Linked DNA regions of Macaca fascicularis. The protein of the gene in region 1 purifies or fractionates together with the protein of each later gene. This does not show direct contact. Links are inferred from orthologs where the notes say so. Each region holds a gene or a part of one and is shown in the gene's direction. Other genes may lie near its edges.

Region 1 (3,755 bases):
GCGAGTGTCAGCTAACTCTCAAACGTACTGACTTGAAGAACTTGGAAGGAAGCATAGGAAGTTACAGTTGGTTTTCAGTTCACCTTGACCTAAGACCCACACACTGATCAGAACACTGTCTCCTGATTCTGATGTTTTCGAGTTGATTTTTGTTCTTAGGTAGGCTCTCCCTTTAAAGTCAACAATCCTGGCTTTCTTTTTTTTTTTTTTTTTTTTGAGACAGAGTCTTGCTTTGTTGCCCAGGCTGGAGTGCAGTTGTGCGATCTCGGTGCTCTGCCGGCTCCGCCTCCTGGGTTCACGCCATTCTCCTGCCTCAGCCTCCTGAGTAGCTAGGACTACAGGTGCCCGCCACCACACCCAGCTAATTTTTTTTTTTGTATTTTTAGTAGAGACGGGGTTTCACTCTGTTAGCCAGGATGGTCTCGATCTCCTGACCTCATGATCCACCTGCCTCGGCCTCCCAAAGTGCTAGGATTACAGGCGTGAGCCACCGCACCCGGCCAGATCCTGGCTTTCTTACATGGTCTTTAGTCGCTGTCTCCCAAAGGGTGAAACACTTTCACTCAGAATTGCTATCAATCCCTTCTGTCAGAATCCATTTGACAAAGAAAAAAGAAATCTCTAAAAAATTACTTGGCTCGGGTGGGATTACATGCCCAACCTGAATGAATCCCTGCATCCGAGGGAATAGGATACTCTGGCCAGTCTGGACCATATGCCTGCCCCTATTGTGGTTGGAGAGAGTATGATAATGAAAGCTTTCTGGGGTACAGGTGGGTGTGAGTTCTGCTAGCAGACAAGGGAGGCGGGGAAGGGACACTGGACAGGCAAGGGCACATGGCCACTAATCAGCTCTAACATGTTTTGAGCCATGGTGTTTTGTGAAAATGGCAGCATAGCCCCATGACTGTGGGTCCTCCACTGTTAGGAAGACTGCTTCAACAGCCACAAGGACAAGCTTGAGGGCAGGAAGGCATGTTACCACTCAAACAGTAGCAAGGAGCAGGGCATTAGCAATTCATAGGGCCTGGGGCCTGATATGGGGTCCATTAGTAGCTCCCCACTGTGATAATCCCTTTATCTGGTTTCCGTACCTTTAAAATGGGGGTGCTGGCCTAGTTTTCTTACCTTACAATGGGGATGCTGGCCTAAATACTTACAAGCCCTACTTTTTATTTTTAATTAATTAATTAATTTATTTATTTTTTGAGACGGAGTCTCACTCTGTCATAGAGTGTGCAGTGTCATGACCTCGGCTCACCGCAACCTCTGCCTCCCGGGTTCAAGCAATTCTCCTACCTCAGCCTCCTGAGTAGCTAGGATTACAGGCATGCACCACCATGCCTGGCTAATTTTTTGTGTGTTTTTACTGGAGACAGGGTTTCCCCATGTTGACCAGGTTGGTCTTGAACTTCTGACCTCAAGGGATCTGCCCACTTTGGCCTCTCAAAGTGCTGGGATTACAATCGTGAGCCACCGCGCCTGGCCCCCTTTCTAGTTTTTAAAAACTCTGAGGCAAGGACCAGGTGAGGTGGCTCATGCCTGTAATCCTAGCACTTTGGAAGGCTGAGGTGGGAGGACTGCTTGAGCCCAGGAGTTCAAGACCAGTCTGAGCAATATAGCAAGACCCCATCTCAAAAAAAACAAAACAAAACAAAAAAAACCCTCTGAGGCTGAGCATTTAGTGTGTTTGTTAAACAGCTGGCCTTTTTACTTTTATGGTAACACACATATGTGTTATATATATGTTAAGGCTAGTTAAATGCATGCAAATGTTAGGTATTGTATCACCAAAGTTGTGACCCTTATGTGGTAAGATACCTGTGCTATATTATTCAGATGGACAGTGAGTAAACCAAAATTGCTCATCCTTACCAGCTGCTGTTTGTTTCTTTTTAATCCTTAAGTTTTACATGGACAGATGGCAAATTAAACAGCAGTAACTTGGTAATTCTGTCTGGCCAAGTGGTTGAACACTTTGATCTGGAGTTCCGAATCCTGTATGCCCAGTCCAAGCCCATCAGTCCCAAACTCCTGTCTCACTTCCAGAGCAGCAACAAGTTTGATCACCTCACCGACCGAAAACCACAGTCTAAGGAGCTCACCCTAGGCAACCTGCTGCGGATGCGGCTGGCTAGGCTCTCCAGTACTCCCAGGAAGGCGGACCTGGACCCAGAGATGCCCGCAGAGGGCAAGGCAGAGCGCAAGCCCCATGACTGTGAGTCCTCCACTGTTAGTGAGGAAGACTACTTCAACAGCCACAGGGACGAGCTCCAGAGCAGAAAGGCCATTGACGCTGCCACTCAAACAGAGCCAGGAGAGGAGATGCCAAGGCTGAGTGTGAGTGAGGTGGGAACACAAACCAGCATCACCACAGCGTGTGCTGGGACCCAGACTGCAGTCACCACCAGGATAGCAAGCTCTCAAACCATGGTTTGGTCCAGGTCAACCACCACTCAGACTGACATGGATGAGAACATTCTCTTTCCTCAAGGAACTCAATCTACGGAAGGGTCACCAGTCTCAAAAATGTCTGTATCAAGATCTTCCAGTTTGAAGTCTTCCTCCTCTGTGTCTTCCCAAGGCTCTGTGGCAAGCTCCACTGGCTCTCCTGCTTCCATCAGAGCCACTGACTTCCACAATCCTGGCTATCCTAAGTACCTGGGCACCCCCCACATGGAACTGTACTTGAGTGACTCACTTAGAAACTTGAACAAAGAGCGGCAATTCCACTTCGCTGGTATCAGGTCCCGGCTCAACCACATGCTGGCTATGCTGTCAAGGAGAACACTCTTTACTGAAAACCACTTTGGCCTTCATTCTGGCAATTTCAGCAGAGTTAATTTGCTTGCTATTAGAGATGCAGCACTTTATCCTTCCTATCAGTAACTACTCCGTATTCAGACTCCTGGTTTCTTCCAGGCTTACAGTGGACATCATCAGCTTCCTGCTTTAAAAAATATCTTACGTCCCTAATTGCCTTTCTTTTACCTGACTTTGTCACCTTTGTTGTCTTTGAATTCTATAGGCTGCATATTCTTTTACGTGCTTTGTTTTGTTTTTGTCATGTATGTACCAGGTATTGGTTTTACGGTTTAAACACTATGGATACAGGTTTATTTTTTTTTCTTGTTTTTTTTTTTTTTGCACAATTTTAATAGTCATGCACTACATAATGATGTTTCGGTCAATGACAGACCACGTATATGATGGCAGTCCCGTAAGATTATAATACCGTATTTTTACTATACCTTTTCTATGTTTAGATACAAATACCATTATGTTACAGTTGCCTACAGTATTCAGTGCAGTAACATGATGTACACGTTTGTAGTCCAGGAGCAACTGGCTATACCATATAGTCTAGGTGTGTAGTAGTTATACCATCTAGGGTTCCGTAAGTACACTCTGTGCTGTTTGCACAAGGACGAAGTCACCTAACAACACATTTCACAGAATGTATCCCTATCATTGGGCAACACGTGACTGTATTAATCTCTTAAGGAGAATGCTTAGGTGTTTAAGTCTAACTCAGGTGAGAGATGAAATATGTTTTGCATTTTTCTCAGGTTATATGCTTTTCCGCTTTAAAGGTTTGAATTATCAGCATTTTTGTAATCAAAATCCTATTTAGAAAAAATAAAACTACTTTTTATCTCTTTAGAATATCTGTGTTCTTAGCATTAAATAAATATAAACTTGTGTTTTTGTACTTTTTTCCCCCTTCTCTGACACTTTTCTCTTTAAATCTGGGA
Region 2 (3,655 bases), on another chromosome or scaffold:
AGTAAGCTGAGATTACACCACTGCACTCCAGCCTGGGAGACAGATTGAGACCCTGTCTTTAAAAAAAAAAAAAAAAAAGTTTATGAAGAGGCGGGGCTTTGATGAAATGACAAATTTTAACAAGTGGGCTATGTAAGTTATTTAAGAACATAGTACTGTATAGGACAAGCACATATGGGAAAAGCATATGTATTTCTTCTACTAATATTGTACATAATAGGGTAGGTAGAGTCATGAAATTTTATTTAAATTTATGAGGAGACCAAGCCATCATTTTAGCTCTCATATCTTCCTGTGAAATGGTAAAATATCTCACCCAAAAATATCTTTTTGCTTGTACTTAAATGCATTTATTTTTCTATCTTGAAATGTTTGTTTTTAACTTTGTTTTAACCCTTGAACTTATAGGGGTTTCCTGCAGAATTTGCCATGTACTTAAACTATTGTCGTGGGCTACGCTTTGAGGAAGCCCCAGATTACATGTATCTGAGGCAGCTATTCCGCATTCTTTTCAGGTCAGTTTTTAAGGTATTTTAAGATTATAAACTCTGTGAGGGAAATTGGTTAAATTTACCTAACAAATTCATTCTGATAAATACTAAAGTAAAGCAGATCTGACTAACATGAATAAAAGATTTAAGAAACTGATTTATTTGGGACTAATTTGGCATTTTTCTATTTGCAGTGTAAATAGGTGATTTTAGTTTGGAGTGGATAGAGAGTTGAATCATACTCAAAGTAGAATGTAACTTTTCCAGAATAGTTATAATTCATATTAGATATAAGTGGCTGTCAGTGCCTTCTGGAACTCTCCAACTTTGTTACAGTACCAAATAGAAAAGCAATTAAAATATCACATAGTCATGGAGTCTAATCAAGTGGTAGCAGTCCTAAACTCGGGTAGGGTTCCTTAGGCACAACCCAGAACTGGTCTTGAAAAAGCGGGGGGGAAATAGATTACATGTGGCTCAAACTCTTAGTTGGAAGAGAATAAGAATTGAGGTAATCCAGCCAGGTACGGTGGCTCACGCCTGTAATCCCAACACTTTGGGAGGCCAAGGCAGGCAGATCACTTGAGGTCCGGAGTTCGAGACCACCCTGCCCAACATGGTGAAGCCCCATCAAAATACAAAAATTAGCCAGGTGAGGTGGTGCTCGCCTTTAATCCCAGCGACTTGGGAGGCTGAGGCAGGAGAATCTCTTGAACCTGGGAAGTGGAGGTTACATTCAGCCGAGATCCCGCCAGTGCACTCCAACCTGGGTGACAGTGAGGCTCTGTCTCAAAAAAAAAAGAGAGAAAAACAAAAAGTAATCTGCCAGACACAATGGCTCACACCTATAATCCCAGCACTTTGGGAGGCTGATGGGGGTGGATCACCTGAGGCCAGGAGCTCGAGAACAGCCTGACCAACATGGTGAAACCCCGTCTCTGCTACAAATACAAAAATTAGCCGGGTATGGTGGCAGGCGCCTGTAATCCCACCTACTCAGGAGGCTGAGGCAGTAGAATTGCTTGAACCTGGGAGACGGAGGTTGCAGTGAGCCAAGATTGCACCACTGCACTCCAGCCTGGGCAATAAGAGCAAAACTTTGTCTCAAAAAAAAAAAAAAAAAAGAAAAAGAGAGAGAGAATTGAGGTAATCCTTTAACCCCAGAAAAGTGTCTTCCCAAGGCACCAGTCAGACATCTTATAACCAAACTTCCAGTTGAATATTTACTCTTACTTGTTTTTAGGAAGTACCTCCTCTTACGAGTATTCCCGTAGATAACTGACAGCTTGACTTGATGTTTCAGTTTTCATGTTGCCTTTTTTATACATAAGAGAAATATTTTAGAAGCTGCCACACTTGAGGAAATATTCATTGTGTGAAGAAATGCTCTCACTGTCTTAAAAAGTTAGTAGATTATAAAGCCGGGCGCTGTGGCTCATGCCTGTAATCCCAACACTTTGGGAGGCTGAGATAGACGGATCATAAGTTTAGGAGATCGAGACCATCCTGGCTAACATGGTGAAACCCTGTCCCTACTAAAAATACAAAAAAAAATTAGCCAGGCATGGTGGCGGTTGCCTGTGGTCCCAGCTACTCGGGAGGCTGAGGTAGGAGAATGGCGTGATCCCGGGAGGCAGAGCTTGCGGTGAGCCGAGATCGCGCCACTGCACTCCAGCCTGGGGGACAGAGCGAGACTCCGTCTCAAAAAAAAAAAAAGTTAGTAGGTTATATAACTGGACTCTGTTATTAAAGGATTAACATAAAATATTTTATGTTTTCCAGGACCCTGAACCATCAATATGACTACACGTTTGATTGGACAATGTTAAAGCAGAAAGCAGCACAGCAGGCAGCCTCTTCCAGTGGGCAGGGTCAGCAGGCCCAAACCCCCACAGGCAAGCAAACTGACAAAACCAAGAGTAACATGAAAGGTTAGTAGCCAAGAACCAAGTGACGTTACAGGGAAAAAATTGAATACAAAATTGGGTAATTCATTCATTTTTAACAGTGTTAGATCAAGGAGGTGGTTTTAAAATACATAAAATTTGGCTCTGTGTTAAAAAAAAAAAAAAGACGTCCTTGGAAAATTTGACTACTAACTTTAAACCCAAATGTCCTTGTTCATATATATGTATATGTATTTCTATATACATATATGTGTGTATATTTATATCATTTCTCTTGGGATTTTGGGTCATTTTTTAACAACTGCATCCTTTTTACTCATTCATTAACCCCCTTTCCAAAAATTTGGTGTTGGGAATATAATATAATCAATCAATCCAAAATCCTAGACCTAACACTTGTTGATTCCTAATAATGAATTTGGTTAGCCATATTTTGACTTTATTTCAGACTAACAATGTTAAGATTTTTTTATTTTGCATGTTAATGCTTTAGCATTTAAAATGGAAAATTGTGAACATGACGTAATTTCAAGAGGTGAGTCTGGCATGACCCCCGAAGTGTCTATCTTCTCAGTTGCAGAGCATCTCATTTTCTCTCTTCAATGCTCAAATAAACGCAAAGCTCAGCACATCTTTTCTAGTCACAAAATAATTCTTTCATTTGCAGTTTAACTACATATGATCTTAATTTCAAAACGATTCCTTTGTTTTTGGCTTGATTTTTTACAGTGTTGCAAATATCAGGCTCCCAGGGTTTAATGTGGAATTGAAGTCTGCAGTCAGGCCTTGCAAATTGAAGATAACTGGGGCAAATGCCATTGAAACCGCTAGTCTATTTCCTTTCTTCCTTTCTCTGGCACTCTTACTGCCTGTAAGGAGTAGAACTGTTAGGGCACACTGTTGCTATACAGTTTGACTCCCATTTTCATGTTTTGTGTTTTTTTTCCCATTTCTGGGGCTTACCTCCTGATACCTGCTTACTTTCTGGAAGTAGTGGGCAAGTAAGATTTGGCTCTTGGTTTCTAATTTTTAAATTTCTGAATGACTGCTCTAGTCTGAACTTGGCCTTTATAGATTAATCTTTGCTTCACATTTTTAGTGTTGTATTTAAACTATTTTATAATTTAAAAATAGATTCTAACCTGAAGATACTTTTCAAGAAATATTAACTCATGTCATCCTCATCCCAGCAGCTCATCTGTTAGGAATGAAGTTGAGATACTTCTATTCCATGTTTCTGTATTTGGGAAGGTTTCA

What was found. Proteins that work in one complex are often made in the same cells at the same time.
Region 2: the proteins of FAM83D (region 1) and CSNK1A1 purify together in Homo sapiens (affinity purification with mass spectrometry; 8 studies listed by BioGRID and IntAct, counting the BioPlex papers as one, with this or other methods). This does not show direct contact. The link is inferred for Macaca fascicularis from reciprocal best matches to the Homo sapiens genes FAM83D and CSNK1A1.

Annotation. Positions count from the first base shown.
Region 1 is NC_088384.1:95,076,602-95,080,356, forward strand, and holds the end of FAM83D (protein FAM83D), read left to right. Parts: intron 1-1,907; coding exon 1,908-2,889; 3' UTR 2,890-3,663; downstream 3,664-3,755.
Region 2 is NC_088380.1:156,385,510-156,389,164, reverse strand, and holds part of CSNK1A1 (casein kinase I), read left to right. Parts: intron 1-408; coding exon 409-515; intron 516-2,273; coding exon 2,274-2,422; coding exon of another isoform or gene 2,423-2,427; exon of another isoform or gene 2,428-2,535; intron 2,536-3,655.